Linked DNA regions of Oryza sativa Japonica Group. The protein of the gene in region 3 binds, or shares a complex with, the protein of the main gene of each other region. Links are inferred from orthologs where the notes say so. Each region holds a gene or a part of one and is shown on either strand. Other genes may lie near its edges.

The links. Proteins that work in one complex are often made in the same cells at the same time.
Region 1: transcription initiation factor TFIID subunit 11 (region 3) and transcription initiation factor TFIID subunit 10 share a complex: the UniProt entries of both Arabidopsis thaliana proteins name them as parts of the TFIID complex. The link is inferred for Oryza sativa Japonica Group from reciprocal best matches to the Arabidopsis thaliana genes TAF11 and TAFII15.
Region 2: transcription initiation factor TFIID subunit 11 (region 3) and transcription initiation factor TFIID subunit 13 share a complex: the UniProt entries of both Arabidopsis thaliana proteins name them as parts of the TFIID complex. The link is inferred for Oryza sativa Japonica Group from reciprocal best matches to the Arabidopsis thaliana genes TAF11 and TAF13.

What each region holds. Positions count from the first base shown.
Region 1 is NC_089043.1:20,160,029-20,165,652, reverse strand, and holds transcription initiation factor TFIID subunit 10, read left to right. Parts: upstream 1-2,052; 5' UTR 2,053-2,203; coding exon 2,204-2,383; intron 2,384-2,479; coding exon 2,480-2,544; intron 2,545-2,885; coding exon 2,886-2,948; intron 2,949-3,531; coding exon 3,532-3,589; intron 3,590-3,676; coding exon 3,677-3,727; intron 3,728-5,159; coding exon 5,160-5,240; 3' UTR 5,241-5,484; downstream 5,485-5,624. UniProt on the Arabidopsis thaliana protein: TAFs are components of the transcription factor IID (TFIID) complex that is essential for mediating regulation of RNA polymerase transcription.
Region 2 is NC_089035.1:13,332,894-13,338,526, forward strand, and holds the start of transcription initiation factor TFIID subunit 13, read left to right. Parts: upstream 1-2,061; 5' UTR 2,062-2,104; intron 2,105-2,191; 5' UTR 2,192-2,365; coding exon 2,366-2,570; intron 2,571-2,655; coding exon 2,656-2,693; intron 2,694-2,945; coding exon 2,946-3,005; intron 3,006-4,900; coding exon 4,901-4,975; intron 4,976-5,061; coding exon 5,062-5,175; 3' UTR 5,176-5,633. UniProt on the Arabidopsis thaliana protein: TAFs are components of the transcription factor IID (TFIID) complex that is essential for mediating regulation of RNA polymerase transcription. May be involved in polycomb repressive complex 2 (PRC2) mediated repression.
Region 3 is NC_089035.1:28,595,308-28,600,951, reverse strand, and holds transcription initiation factor TFIID subunit 11, read right to left. Parts: upstream 3,866-5,644; 5' UTR 3,825-3,865; coding exon 3,505-3,824; intron 2,877-3,504; coding exon 2,789-2,876; intron 1,844-2,788; coding exon 1,744-1,843; intron 1,503-1,743; coding exon 1,375-1,502; 3' UTR 1,037-1,374; downstream 1-1,036. Other genes in the region: uncharacterized protein, read right to left, coding at 1-142. UniProt on the Arabidopsis thaliana protein: TAFs are components of the transcription factor IID (TFIID) complex that is essential for mediating regulation of RNA polymerase transcription.

The DNA.
Region 1 (5,624 bases), on a different chromosome or scaffold from region 3:
CCATTTGATCAGGATTGTTGACACACTTGCTAAAGTTTGTCTGCAACTTGTTGCCTCCTCGAACAAGTTTAGTATTTTCTTTGCCACTTGGAAGTCTTGGTTGGTCGCGGAGAAAGAGCACCACATTGTTTTCCGAAAGGGATATGCGGTGCGGGATTGGGATCGGCTGCAGTAAGCCCTCCTCTTTTGCCTTGGCAAACAAGGTGCTTAAGGTATCCATCACAAGGACAAACATTAGAGGTGAGATCATATCGTCTTAACGTATTCCCTGACCGTGCTAGATCATCCGCCCTAGTCACCATTGAGGAGTAAGAGTTGGTATGCAATATGCATTATCCCGTGAATCTTAGTTCAGTGATGGTATGCTACATTGCATGAGTAAAATGACGCTTTCTACTAGACATCAGTGAATGTAACTTAGTAGCTGATGGCAAACATAAATAGTGGTGTTTCTTTGACTTAAGTGAAATTGTAAAGAAAATCTTGCTACTTGACAATAAATCATATAATTGACCTTTTCTTGATAGCATATAACGGTTATGTTTCCTTGTTGCAACTTCTCTTTGTATTATATTATTTGGATGATTTTCAAATGGGATAAGTCCATTTGACAACTCCGAACTCTTCGCTTTGTCTAAAATAAACCCCCAAACTCTAAAACTGAGTATTTGACACCCTCTAACTTTTCAAACCGTCTAATTTTAGCCCCTTAGTGGAAACCAACGCAAATTTTCTTATGTGGTGCCTACATGGAAACTTAGCTATAAAAGAACATAAAAAGGTGGGACCCGTAGGCCACCTCCCCTCTTTCCTCTTACTCTTCTTCTTCCTCTTTCCTCTCCTTCTCCTCTTCGAGATGAATGACGAGGGTAGAAGGCCGTTGATGAGTTCCCGAGCTTAACAAGTAGAGTAGCGAGGCAACCTCCCTGAGCTCAATGAGGCGAGTGCCGACGACTTCCCTGAGCTTGTGTAGCAGGCCCAGCGGCATCGGCTCCTTCATTGAGCTTATCGTGGGATCGAGGTTGTGCTGCTGGCACTTGTCTTCTCTGACCTCGGCAAGTGGGTGTTGGGGGGGGGAGAGCTCTGGGTCTACGATGACAGCAACACTTGGATAGGACGAGTGGCAGCGGATCTCAGAGCTTATGATGACATCGAAGCTTGGGTAGGAGGGGCCGATTACTGCCCATCAACCCTCCTTGGAACTTGCTGGTGATCCCGTCTTCTCCGTGCTCAGCAGTTCCTCTTCTCCAAGCTCGCCGCCAACCCCCCTCTTCTCTGACCTCAGCCAAGGGGCAAGCTCCACATCGAGCTTGCTGCCAACCTTCCTTTTCTTCCGAGCACGACCAAGGGGGTGGGCTCGGCACGAAGCTCTCCGCCGACCCCTTTCTTCTCTATGCTCGCATCTAGCTCGCAGCTCCGTCCATCTCGTCATGGCTGCCTCAAGCTCATAGAGGGAGGGAGTCGAAAGAGAGGGGAAGGTGAAAGAAGACTGTAGGACCTGCTGACGTGGTGTAAACCGCTCAGGGGGTATAAAGTGAATGGTATTAAAAGTTAGAGGGTGTGAAATATCCGGCTTTAGAGTATTGGGTGTATCTCTACTATTATAAAAACTGAAGATGTTTTTGCTAGAATTTTGGTTTGTCATCCATATTTGAGTCGGTTTTTAAGTTCGTTCACTTTTGAAAATACAGAACCGTGTTTGAGTTAGATTTTAAGCTTATTTCCTATTGGAAGTAAGTCGTATAAGAAATCTTTTAAAAAAACTCACATGCTAACTTCAAATTAAATACGGTCTCCTAATTGCAGCTCATGATTTTCTGAAAAAATATCCAATCAAATTTTCACAGTGAATTTTACCGTAGCTAAACCGTATAACAACAATAAAATTAAAATAGCATTTACCCGTTCCAATGCATAGACTTTTTTTTTCTAGTTTTAGACAAAAACGAAGACTTCATAGGTGTAAAATAGACTTATCCCTTTTTTTTCCAAACGGGCCTGAACTCCGCCCATCCTACGCTTATTACCAAAAGGGCCGGAGTACAGCCCACCACTCCCCTCCCTCTTCCCCCCTCCTTCTCGAGCCTCCGGCGACGACGACGACTCCCGCCGCTCTTCCTGGTCCATCGGCGGCGAACTTCCCCGCCGACGTGCCAGATCTCAAACCCCACTAGCTCCTCCGGCGAAGGCGGGGGACCAGAGGATGATGGGGAGCAACAGCGCAGGCGGAGGCGGCGGTGGCGCCATGGTTCCGGGGGGCATGGGGGGAGGAGGGCCCATGGGGGCAGCCGCCGCCGGCGGCGGCGGCGGCGGAGACGGGCGGCACGACGACGAGGCGGTCCTCACCGAGTTCCTCTCCTCCCTCATGGACTACACCCCTACGGTACGGCGCCTGCCGCCCATCTTGCCCTAGCTTCCCCCTCTCTTGGGTTTCGTGTCTGATGCGGTGGTGGTGGTGGTGGTGGTGGTGGTGCGGCAGATTCCCGACGAGCTGGTGGAGCACTACCTTGGCCGCAGCGGCTTCTACTGCCCCGACCTCCGCCTGTAAGCACCCCCATCTATCTCTCCAATAGTTCAATCTCTTCTCTCTTTCAGGAAGACTGCACCGTGCCTTCCAGGATGGGCCAATTGGTAGTTATTAAACTGAAATTCGTCCAGTGCCCGGAAATCACTGAAGAGATTTGGACTGAATTTTGCCTGATTCTTAGTACGTACAACATGGTGACAGTTAGATCTGATTGAGGCTGTTAGGATTGCATTGTAATGCAGCGTGTTGCCATTCTAGTCGAGGGAGAAAATCGCTGTATCCCTTTCAGCTTGGTGATTGTTGGTCGTCATGTGTGACAGCATGGCCTTATGAACCATAATTTTTGTGTTCTCTGCAGAACGAGGCTGGTTGCTGTAGCCACCCAAAAGTTCATTTCGGACATTGCAAGCGACTCTCTTCAGTATGTAACTTTTACTGCCTCATTCGTTTTGTTTTCCAACTTAAACGTATGTGCGATTATTTTGTTCCTTTTTAGTGGTTATCGATTCTTGGAGTCGAATTTTCGTTACCTTCAGATAGTGAATGAGAAATATGATTTCTGATGATGGTCATGAACCATGAGGTTTCTTGCATCATTCATAAATGGAGGTGTATGCAATATGCTTCATTCTTGAGATGTTGAGTAGCCTCATTTCTCCTATGCTGGCAGCTTTTTGAGATAACCATGTTGATTTTAGGCTTGTTTTCTTCATACTGTCAACTTGCATCTTCTTTGTGCTTCCTTTTTTTTGTTTCTATCATCCTTCTCACATTATGACCATGGAATGAAACATCAAACATGGTATCTTATGTCTATATTGTTAAGACAATAGATTGCGAAATATGCATAACATTGATGTGGTAGGGAATCTAATTTCAGTACTGACTGAAACTTTATGTGTAAAGTCAAGCTTCTTATGGTGTTGCTTGTATCATAACTTGTGACAGTTAAAAGGTATCATGCACACTAATTTGTTCATCACATGATTATTGTCCTGAACTAGGCACTGCAAAGCCAGGGTAGCAGCACCTATCAAAGATAACAAGAGCAAGCAACCTAAGGTGGGTTTAATTGCAGTTGGTGTACCATGGTACTACTAGCATGAAATCAGTACTTTTATTTACTGGTTCAGTCATTCTGTTCTTCAGGATAGGCGTCTTGTGTTAACAATGGATGATCTTTCCAAGGCCTTGCAAGAGGTAAACCATTTTCCTGTTGAATTTAAGCTTTCCCTTTTACTGCAGCTCACCAGTTACCACTGTACTTTACGTGATTGAAGTCACAGTTTATTCAGTTTGACGTATAATTGCAATTATTAGTTTTATTAGGACTTGAATCTCTGCATTAATAAATCTACTGTAGAATGGATTTAGTTAACCTTTTTTAGACCAATGGGATTACTTGTTAATGTTTTTTTTAATGAAACAAGTAGCCAAATTGATCAGTTGTATATGCTTCACGATGCTCACGATTAATCACAATTCAGATAGACTAATCAACTCAACAATCAGTCACAGCCTACTTGTATTGGAATATTTTACCAGAAGAACAAATGGGAAACTATTTTGATCCCTTGAGGGGATGTGCCGCTTAAAAATCATCTAAACGGTTATGAAAAATTCTAGAAAAATTTGACAACACTTATACAACATATCTATACAACTTCACAAAATCTTAAGTCCAAATTCAACTCACACATCGAGATATAAAAAAAGACAAATTCAGCGTATAAATAGTACCGCACTGTTAATATCTGAATTTGTCTTTTTGGGTTCTCGATGTGTAGGTCGAATTTGAACTTTATTTTTGGTGGACTATTAGATATAATTGTACTCTACATTGTCAATATTTTTCAGAATTTTTAACAACTATATTTGCATTGATTTTGAAAGAAAAATATATACGAGGGGACATCCCCTCGAGGGATTAGAATCCACTCCCCAGAACACATACATTATAGTACATGAAATAAGCATTTAAGCAGACCTGGGATGAGCTGCTCATATACAGGGATGAGCTGCTCATATACAGGTCTATTTGACAAATGATCTTCTATGCTTTCCCTTCCCAGCAATATTCTTGGCAAATGACTGATTCAGCTATAATCACATCATGGTCAGTACACTTATGTTTACAATTCCATGGTTCAGAATCAATCTACCTTCTACACACGAAACCTCACACAAAAGGGCATCCTTGACATGTCACAATATCACATAACTCTGGACTGTAATGCTCTACAGATGAGCTATCATTATAGAAGCTTTGTGCTTTCATGAAATATGTTTGTTCCACATACTACCAATTTGAGATTTATTTTTGTTTTCTAACATGCTGGCAGCTATCAGTAGATCATCACGTCATTTGATAGAATTAGATTACCATTGTCCAGCGTTTAGTATTGTAACTCCTAATTATCCTAATTAGGCATTTATGTTTGATGCATTTTGAGAAACTGGCACTTTTTACTCCCGTGTCAAATGCCAATATAGATCACAAATGTGTACATCAAATCCTCTATGGTGGTGCAGTAAGCTGGTAACCACTGACTATAGGCTAGTAGGCTCCTTTTTACCAAACATGTATACCAATGCTTAATTTCTGATGTGCACCATACTTATTTCCTTGCAGCACGGTGTGAACTTGAAACATCCTGAGTACTTCGCAGACAGCCCTTCTGCAGGAATGGCTCCTGCAGCAAGAGAAGAGTAGACTCAACTGAACTCAAAGTGAAACCAGGGACTATGTAGGGAGCATGCAAATGAATGACCATGTCGGCATCCTTACCCAACCTTATTACAGCATGCAAATGAATGAACCTGTCAGCATCCTTACCGACCTTATTACAACCTGATGTCTGTTCCTTGATATACTATTGACCATTAGCTTGTAACTAATAGTCTAATACCACTGGTTGCTTCTGTACTTAGTATGAAGTACTATCTGTGCTGATTGATTCCTCTGTGTGAAACCTGTTTTAAATTGCCTGGTGGATCCTTGACAGCTGAAAACTAATTGACTTTGCAACATGCTATAGCTTTTCACTACTTTGTTTCTTGATGTTGCGTTGGCAAACATCATTTCTCAGTGAAAATG
Region 2 (5,633 bases), about 15 Mb from region 3:
TACCTAAACCTAGAATTGGATGAGAACTATCCTAGTTAACTAGTATATTCCTTCTATTTCATAATATAATAATTTAGAATCAAATGAGACCTATTCTAGTACTACGAGGTTCGTAGTAGTATGATACATGCAATCCGATTCTAGCATACCATATTGTGGGATGGAGGGAGTATATATGAATGCAAACCATGTAATTTAAAACAAATGGTTACTCATGCTACTCATGGTAATAACTTACTTCAGTAAAATGTATTTGGTCCTCAGTTTTCCCAACGCTAAATAAATTCGACCATGAAGAGTACTTAAATATACTGCTTGGTGCTAAAGCTGTCCACAATAGCATAATATCAGTTCCCTGTAAAATTAGTGGTATATTGTCACCGTGAATATACTCAATAATAATTAAACAAAAGCTACTAAAATTTCTTTTTGGAGGGAACAAAAGCTACTACCTCCCTCCCAAAATACAGAGAGTTTTAGGTTTGGACACAGATATTAAGAAGGTATGTAGAATTAAACGAAAGAAAGTTGTGATTGGTTGACAAGAGAAAGTTGGTGGAGAATTTGAATGGTGGAAGATTGTGATTGGTTGAGAAGAGATTGTAGGTGAAGAAGTTGTTATATTCTGGGATAAATTTTGAATGTTAGAAGTTGTTATATTTTGAGACGGATGGAGTACTAAACTCGGTGGCATAAAGTCAATTCCTTAGTACCAAAGATAACAAAAAAAAAAACAAAGTGGGAGGTAGGCAACAAGTTTTAGGAATTAAAAAAAAAGGGCATTGAGGAACATTCTAAAAATGAAGTTGCCATTGAAAAAAGATGAATTCATATCTCCACCCGTTTCTCATTAGGTCCATATCTTCCAAGAATATTACTTTGGAGTATTGAAAGAGTTAAGATATCAAGTTGCAAGTTGTCATGTCATTTAAGACCAGAGGTTTGCCACTCTTTCTCCTTGTGCACATTACCACCACAACCACTAATCTAGTTGTAGGTCCCATTGCAAATCCTTGTTCATTCATCGTCATCGGTCCTTAAGCACATCGCCATGATCTAATTTTAATGGCACTTAGATTTAGCCATCTCTTTAGCGGCGGTGGCAAGTGCTCCAACATTGACTTCTAACTTTCTATTGGAAACGTTTAGCTATTTGGTTATCATTATTGTCGAGTTGTTGACGCTCTACTCTCTATTATCAGATCTAGCCATAGGTACAATAATTTGCCTGTTCCTCGTCCTTTCCCTATATGAACCATTTTCTTCACATTTCTAAGTACTAACTCATTATCCTTTTTTAAGTGCTCTAATATTTTTGAAAGTGTTATTTCTCCTTTATCTTTAAGTGGCTCATGTCTTCTTTATCTATGCTCTCCTGTATCTCAAGTCTAATGTTGCAATCACTGACTGAAAATCACCCAGTTCTCGTAAAAATGCCGTGGGGACTGGTTTACGAAAACTAAGTGGTTTTACTCCCTCAAATATAGCAACCTTGTACCTCTGTCCAGATTCATTGTACTAAGATATGTCTCATCTAGTACAGGTTGTTATATTTTGGAACGGAGTGAGTAGCAATTTTCGTATGAAATTGATTAAAAATTGCTATTCTTATTGTTTTTTTTACCAAACCGATACAAACCGGTCTTCACTCGAAAACGGTAATGCAAAACTGGACAATATGGTGTGTTGCAAAATTTCTCAAATGGCCCGTTTGGTTGGAGAGAGTTTTCAGGAGGGATTGGGAGTTTAGAGGGATGAGGCTATTAAGTGTTTTGTTTGGTTGGGAGACATAAGAATTTTGGTGGGATGTAGATCCCTCCTTTTCAATACGGCAGGTAATTGGGAGGGAATTCCTCCTTTACTTTGTCTAAGCAAATCTCAGCCATCCATTTTTATTAATGACCTAATCTCTAACTAAACTCCTTATCAATTTTTATCATCTCTACCAAACAAGATATTAGGATTAAAAATTAAATTCTCATCTTAATCTCATCCGCAATTCCCTCGTGTAAACTCCAAATCATACCATACAAGCCGCAAGGACCGGAAAATTCTCGAATCGCCGCCGGTACGCTCACCAGCTGCTTCCTTCCCTTCGCCGCCGGTACGCTTCCGCCGCGATTGCCTCTCCCCCTTCCCGGCCTTACGCTCCGCCGCTAGTGTGAGGCTGACTCCACTCGTTTCCTTCCAGTTCGCCCCTCAGAAATCCATCACGGCTGTGCATAGTGCACGCGAAAGCCCTAAATCCAAGCGGCGGCGAGGAGCGAAGGGAAGGGGAGGGGAGCGCCGCCGGCCGTCGGGAAGAGGGGGCGGGCGGCGTCCGTCTCCCTCCCTCACCCCTCGCGTCCTTCGCTCTTCCGCCGGGATGCAGAACCCTGGCGGCCACCACGCTAGCCCGGCCTCGGCGGCCAAGTCCAAGTCCTCGACCGCTGCCGCCGCGTCGGCGTCGGGCCAGGGGAGCTCCCACCACCACCACCACCACCACTCCGGCGGCGGCGGCGGCGGCGGCGGCGGCGCCGACGCGTCCGCCACCACCCTCAAGCGCAAGCGCGGCGTCTTCCAGAAAGACCGTACGGCACTGTTTTTTCTAAACTTTAGTACTGCTGCTGTTCTTCGAATTCGTTGTTTATGCTGCATTTTTCCCCGTTCTTGCAGTGCAGCACATGATGTACGGATTTGGGGATGATCCAAATGTAAGCCCGACCTCGATCTATGCCTTTCATCTCTTAATTTTCAGGCTAGGAATTGTTTGGGGATAGGATGCAATTTGTGTACTTTGTGTTGTGGAACATTGGAGGTAATTAACACCGACAACGACAATAATTGCAAGTAGGCCATGGATTTACAACACAACTACATGATTGCCTAAGAAAGAATGGACATGCTGTTCTACCTTTTAAGTTAAAATCTTGTATGTAAATGACATCTTTCTGTTGGTTTTGCAGCCGCTTCCAGAAACTGTTGCACTTGTGGAGGACATTGTTGTAGAATATGTCACTGACCTGGTAAGCTTTCATTGTATTTGTCTTTCTTGTTTTCTACTGAAATTACATTTATGAAGGTTGTATGGATGAAAGGAGTTTATTTGGATTTCGACATCCTTATTTGTTGCCTTATTTAATTCAATTCTAGTGTTCTGGAAAGAGTGATTAGGTAGTTTTCTGGAAAGAGTGATTAGGTTCAGTGCTTCTGTTTGTCGGGAAACATGAAGCCTTTTATGTTTTGAGAATTAATAGGGGCTTCACTTTAACCTATAGTTCATATTTGTGTAGAGCCCAAGGGCTTGAAGTTTGAACACTGGTTTCGGGAAAAAAGAACTACTCCCTCTGGAAAATAAGTTGCCAGGTCTCTACTGGACAAAAGTTCGATTCCAAAATTTTGAATCAAAAAACCAGTTACCAGCTAGTTACCGGCAGTAAACCAGTTTTGTGATAAAAATATTGGATTCGAACTTTTTGCATGCTAATATGTAATAATTCAGATCCGGCATATGAAAGTAAACTAGTGTACCTGTACATGAAATTTCAAGAAAATATAAAGTTATACTTTATTCTTATGGTCTCAAATCTGAACTTTAATTTAAGTGTGAACTGTACTTTGGACTAGATTTTATTTCCTAAGTTGCACATTGGATTAGGTATTATCAAAGGTTTTCACTTTGAACCAGCTTATGGTATCAAATTTTGCACTTTGGACCATTAGTCCCACACGTCAGCCTCCATATAGTCATCTTCCTCGTCAGTCCTCTCGTCTCCTCTCCTTGTGCGCCATCATGTGCTCTCGTTGCGGCAGCTCATTTGTGCAGGCCGCTATGGTGGAGCATCTTGCCAAGCCTTTCTCAGCTAGTCCACCACAAATAAAAGCCTTAATTAACTTTTTCCATCCTCAGTTCCCTTCTCAATCATAAACCACCAGATAAGTTGAAGAGCTTCATACAGTGACAAACCTTCCAGACCTCTCCATGCTAATCACCTGACCATCCCCTGCTCTTGCACCCACTGGCCGGAACACCGTCTCAGCGCTATGGTGGAGCATCTTGAGCTCAAATCAGGGGCTAACACTAGTGGAGCTCGAGGCTGAGCAAAAGCTGGAGCTGGTGGATTACTGTGCATAGGCAGAGTGTAGCGATTGTGATGGCATTGGTAGAACTGCGGGTGGAGAAAGAGTTCTACAGACAGTTATATAAGCCCAAATTGCAACATAGAGGCAAACATACATAATCCAAAGTAAAAACATTGGCTAGAGCATATGGTTCAAATAGAAAGTTGGGTAAATATTCCTAGCCCAAGGTGCAATTCACTCCAATTTAAATTGTTCTGGCTGGTACACTCCATACCTGTTCAGCAACGGTTATAGTTATCACCAGGATTTGCATCTCTTGTGGAGCCCTTTTTGTTAATGATTCATAGAGCTTTGCCATCTTTTGGCAGTTCTTCCCTGCTTAAATTATCTGTAAACTATATTAAGAAAGGCATTTTCTTTAAAGTCTCTATATAGTCTACTTTCCTGCATGATATGGAACCTTGAGTTTGTAATCGTGCATAGTGTAAATGAAATGTACCTGTGACATGGGGTGAAGATATCTAAACATGCCCCACTTGTCTGAATATATTTTTGTAGATAATTTGTCCATGCGTGATCTGAATACGCGACGATATGAATTTATTAGGTCTGTTTACCCTGCAGACTTACTTTGCCCCAGGTTGTTGGACAAAATTTTTACATGACTACAATCTAGTATGCACTCTGTAACAGCAGAAATACACACCAAACACAAGAATTTAGTTAACTGTAATTTTTTATTTGATTTTAAATACCTGCATGTGGATAAAACCATATGTGTATGTAATGTTTATTTATGATTCCGTAACTGTTGACTGTATAATGTGCACTTTCTTAGGTCCACAAGGCCCAGAACGTTGCATCAAAGAGGGGCAAGCTCTTGACAGAAGATTTTCTTTACCTCATTCGCAAGGTACATTTCTGAACTCCACATGTGAAGTTGCTTGCAATACAGTTGATTAGGTCATATTAAAATTTATCTCTGTACTTTCTTTCTAGGATGTGCGGAAACTGCACCGTGCCACTGAGCTACTCTCCATGAATGAAGAGCTCAAGCAGGCAAGAAAAGCTTTTGATGTGAATGAAGAGACATTGGCAACAAATAACGAGTGATTTCTCTTGGAGAAACCCCGGCAAAAACTATGTGTAGTACGGAAACTAGTCGTACGATGATCATTTCTCCTGCAGAAGATGTGCATCCATTACATTATGTACTACATTTTTAGGAGAGTAATGAAACATTGTGCAAACTGTCATCCTATTTAGGAGTATTAAACCTAGGTTACTGACAAAATCCATTCCATAACTCTTGGGCTAATTTGCAAGACGAATCTAACGAGATATATTAATCCATACTTAGCGGATTATTACTGTAGCAAAACATGGATTAATTAGGCTTATTAGATTTGTCTCGTAAATTAGCCCAGGAGTTATGGAATGAATTTTATCAGTAATCTACGTTTAATATTCTTAAATAGTAAGATTCTGGAGGGCTAATTATTAGCCATCTGGATCCAAACAAGGCTTTGGTTTGGTATTGTTATGGGATAAGATAATCATGTTTGGGGCAA
Region 3 (5,644 bases):
GGCAGCGAGGCAGCTGCAGGGGGGGCACTGGGCGGTTGGATTGGGAGGCCGTTGCTGGTGCTGGAGCTGGTCCTACTCCGACGAGCCGTCCCCGTCCAAGAGGAGGACGAGGCGGCGGCGGCGGCGGCAGCGGCATAGCCATTGCCTAGCTTACGACAAGGCAAGGCAAGACGGACAAGGGATAACGATCGAGTGGCTGTGTGGACTGGAGTGGACAAGACAAGCAGGAGGTTAGTAAGGTCTTTTCGCTGCTCTAATTCATCACAACGAAATATAGCAAACCTTGCATCAGCTTGACATTTTTCCCTTCCAATAGTTTGAACCAAGAATGCAGCAGCTGTAACAGGGTCTACAAACAAACACAACTGGTGTGTTTAGTTCACGTTAAAATTGAAAGTTTGATTGAAATTGGAACGATGTGACGAAAATGTTAGAAGTTTATGTATGTAGGAAAGTTTTGATGTGATGGAAAAGTTGGAAGTTTGAAGAAAACATTGAGAACTAAACCAAGGCTGTGTTTAGTTTCTGAAATTAGAGAGAAGTTTAGAGAAAGTTGGTAGTTTGGGAAAAAAAGTTAGGATTTTATGTAAGTAGAAAAGTTTTGGATGGGATGTGATGGAAAGTTAGGAGTTTGGGAGAAGTTTAGTGTGAACACCTAGGCCTGAACCAAAACATGTTCTCAAAATAATTAAAAAACACCAAAACATCAATAGAAAGAAGACATGATCAAGATGTACCAGTGATGTCAAGTAACTAGATGCAGCCAGCCACTTCCAAAAATGAAACGAAGAAAAATAAGAAAGGATGAGATCCCCATAAACAATTGCCTAATTTCAGAATCATCGACAATACCAATACACACAATGCTCAAGGAACACAATGCCGGCGTAAATGCTCCCGCCGAAGCTGCAGCCTGCAGGACATAAGATCCTGCATAGCATCCGATCTTGAAATAGCAGAAAGACACTTCGTTTAAAAAATCGATTAGTTACAACGGCAAGAGTTCTACGTATAAAAATAGCAGAAAGACACATCGTTTGGGTTAAAACGAGGGTCGCATTTAATTGCAGACAAGCATATAATCAGATTCAGCGCATACTCCAAACAGCATAGTACACAGTTCAACTATTCATAAGCCTGAAAATTCACAGCCTACGGCCAATACTTTATACATAGAATTTTCCACGGCTAGTAGTACCGTAGTACTTCAGCTTGTACGTACTGTTTGCTCTGGTTCCCTTGCTGCGACAGAAATCACAGTAACAATTTCACAAAGCTGAAGAAATACATCTCATGTCATTCTCTCTTTCCGCGCATCTGACCGCAGAAAGGACCATCTCAGTGTCGACTGGGATCAACAGAGATGCTTCAATTCTAACGGAAGAGCCTGGGAACAGTCCGCCGTGGGATCTTCCCTTCAAGTTTCAATCTTCTGTAGGCTTCTCTGATGTGGCAAGGCCTTACTGGTCCAGAATCTTTCCTCTCAGTCATAACTATTCTAGCTGCAACAGACACAATCGAATTGTCAAAAATAAAGTGAATAAAGCCATCCCTCCTTTTTCTTCTGATGTCAGAGAACAAGTTTATGGAAAGCAGAAAAGGACATTTGAACACGGACGATTACAAAAGATCAGTCATAAGAGTGATTTGCTTTAAGAGATGAGCATACATCAAAATCATAGGTGCTTTGGTGGTAGTGTTCTATGAGCAACAAAGTAAATAAGATAATTACTCTAGACTTGCCTGTTTCAACAAGCTCACCAACAAACATCTTTGCAATTCCTGATACTACAATTGTTGTTGGTAGAGAAATCTTTTGACTGCCAGTAATGCTCGCCAATAGCTGCATGGAAACAGAATATCAAATCAACTTTAAAAAAACATGGGTGTAGCTATATTTATGGCGTCATATTTTTCATCAAAAAATAGTCGGCATGTATTTACATTGTAAGTCCCTAAATTACATATGTAATTTTAGTGTATTTACAATGTAAGTCTCAAAATTACATATGTAAGTAATAAAATTACATATGTAAATTCGAAATTACATACTAATTACATATGTAAATGGGGTGTAAATGAGGTGTAACTACTGTGTAAGTGGTTAAAAAAAATCGACTGTAGCATATGGCGCCATATTTCTAGCAACTCCGAAAAACATTCCAATAACGCAGTGATCTCATATTTCAACCACTGATGAGGAAATACATTAAAGCACTTGTCCCTCTGACTAGAACGTAATTTCAAAGCATTGTTAACTTCAGGCATTCAACAGCCAAAAGTAACATTTTTACCGAGAAAAAGGTCAAACTTTGGATTGACACTACAAAAAGGCTTTCTTAGCCTGCCTATAAATTGAAGAAAAGAATATTGACCAAGTTTGGTTTTTTATTTAGAGAGTGTACATCACTTACAATCAGTAGAAACGATGACATAGGCAAAAATGTATTTATCTACAACTTGGAGCGAAATCAACTGTCCTGTACATGAAGCTCTATCAACAATTTGGACAAGACATGCATGGTACATTGTACAACTCATGGTATGCATCCACAAAAGAAACATGAACCAAAATAGAACAGGTGTTATTCAACAGAAAATAAGGTAACTGTAAGACTTAAGAAAGCAGAAAATGTTAATGTGATCCACATTTTGTGGAAAGCTTTTATTGCAAAGGGGAACACTGAAGCCAATTCAGATGGAGGCGCCACACGCATCACACGCACATGATATTGCAGTTTATACTTGTACGATATTAAATCAATGGATGTTGGGAATGAGATCATACCTTTTTCATGTTAGATTTCTGGAATCCAGATCTGCGGAATGACTCATACCGGTTCATCTGGTCTTCTGTAAATTGAGACAGTATGGCACTGGAAAAGGAGTACATAGTTTTTCAAACATAGAATTCTTATTTAGATGGGTTTAATATTTCACTATATATATTGGAACATAAATCTGAGAAGTGCATAATGTCAGGATGTTCTGTAAATAAAATCACAAACAATTGAGAACAATCCCCTTTTCCAATTCAGAAATCTCCACTAGTACAAATCTTACTGTCACAAATTAACCAAAGTTGAACGGTGAAGGACACCAAAATACACTGAACTTGATCAAGAACATATTCTCAATAGACAGTCATATGGTTCCTAACTTTAACTGATCTTTATGCCAGTAAACGCTTCACATATAGCTGGAAACTGGGACTACAGTCTTTATGAAGTGAATAATGTCAGGTTGTTCTGTAACTACAATCACGAACAATCCTTACTCCAATTCAGAAATTTCCACTAGTACAAATCTTACTGTCACAAATTAACCAAAGTTAAAAGGGTGAAGGACGCTAAAACACTGAACTCGATCAAAGAACGTATATACTCAACAGACGGTCATATGGTTCCTGAATTTAGTTGATCCTTATGCAGTTAACCCTTCATATATAGCACGCACCAGAAGAAGGCAAAACTAGGTTTAGGATGAGCGCAGCCAAGCACCTACTTCATCTTGGCGAGCTTGTCGGGGTCGCTGGTGCCGGAGGGCAGCTTGTCGAGGTCGACCTCCATGTGGTCCTCCTCGTCATCCTCCTCCTCCTGCTGCTCCTTCTGGACCCGCACCACCTTACCCCTCGCCGCGGCCGCGGCGGCACCACCGGAGCCCGATGGCGCGGCCCTCGAAGGAGGCAGCCGCAGCGGAGGCCCGCGCGACCCGCTGGCGCCGTCGTATCCCTCGGGCGCCCCGGCCGCGTCCTCCTCGTTCGCCGCCGGCGACTCCGGCGGCGACTCCTGCTCCTCCACCGCCGCCTCGAACGGGTCCTTCATGGCCGCGGCTGGAGACGAATCGCAAGAGTCCAGAGTCTTCTGAAAATTTTTGGGCCGGGGTTGACCTACCTGCTCGCCGCCGCCGGGCTTGGTGGGCTGCTTCGCGCGTGGGCCTTTTTCTCGGGCCGGATTTCTGGGCCGATTTCTCCGTGGCGGCCGCGAGAATTTTCACCGGTGAATCAAATCGCTCGTGCCGAACGCGCCACCGCTGAGCAGCTCACGCCTCACGGCGCGTGCAGCAGCGGCGGAAACAAATTCTCTAACTGACATATGAATTTTGCAGTTCGTGAACCTACATATTAACGACGTACTCCCTCCGTCTTATAAAAGACCAACTTAGTACTAGATATAACACATCCTAATACCATAAATTTGAACACACTATACTAGAATATATCACATATAATCCTAGATTCCTTTTTTACGTCAGAGAACAACATCAGAGGAGCATTCTTTCAGCAACGGCAGATGTTACACGCTTATACACAGTTGAAACCGTGATGTGGCCTACCTCCGATGCGGACCTTACAATGGCCGGGCGCAAAGTAAAGAAAAAAGGAACAAAAAAAAACAGGATTACTACTACTACCATCATCAGAACAGCAACAAAAAAGTTTCATCTTTTCGTTCGAGACGTATCACATCGTGCAACAGGTTTTCGGGACCAGAAAACTCCCAAGCCGTGGGCACTGACCCACCGAGAGACCCATCCTGAGAACGATGCATCAAACGTGTGCAATAAAAAGCTTAAGCAGCTACAAAAACAACAACCCCGATCGATCACGCTGGGATTTGGGCATTCAGGAGGAGGATAGGATTTGCTTTGCCCCCCTCTCACAGCTTTTGCATTACCTCCGTATCGCGCCTTGTTTAGTGGAGGCCGTTTTGTTTATTGCCGCTAATCCTAACGCATAGGATTCTCGCTCGCTCACCATTGACCTCCTCTTTGCCCAAGCAAAGCCTCGCCATTAGATTACTTACCCAGATCACACAACAATATTCTTCGCTAGTTCTTGCAGCTCTCTCTCCCCTGAATAAAATTGACGGCACAAAGGTGCTTTCTGGCGCCGATCACTTTGCTCCACGAATATAAAAAACAACATACTATATGCACACACATATATACTATCATACTCCGTATGATACATCATACATGTGAATATAAAACGACGAGAGCCACATATATCGTCGTGTTTTTTTTTCCGCTTTGCTGGTGATGAGAGTGAATATTCGACCGGCTGTTCGTCTGAGGCTCGTCTGACCAAACTCCCGCTATCATTGCCGATTATTATTCCTCGCTTCGGTTGCGCTGATCGCTTTCAGCAACAGGGGGGGAGGGGGGGGGGGTGCGACAAACAAAAAGAGATGCCCAGCTCGTGTATATCTCTCGAAGACTCCCAAAGCTGTGTGTGTGTATATATATATATATATATATATATATATATATATATATATATATATATGGGGCACCATGGTGCCCGGGCACCATGGTATCTAATGCACAAAATCACTCAAAATTTTCAAAATTTTTAAATTGTGAGTATATACCTAGTTATAATAATTTGATTCATACCTATACTTATCAACAAAACAACTCAAATTTAACTTTATTTCATAATCCATGATTACATACCTAACTAATTATATGTATGGATGCTATATACCTAGAATCAAAATATAACAAAAACAAGTTCAAATTCAGTTCAAACTTGCTTTAAACTAGTTAGTAAAGTAGTTAATGTTAATACCTAAGTAATTGAAAAAGTTTCATACTCATTTGAATTGGGTATATACTCAATTTCAACAATGGTGCCCGGACA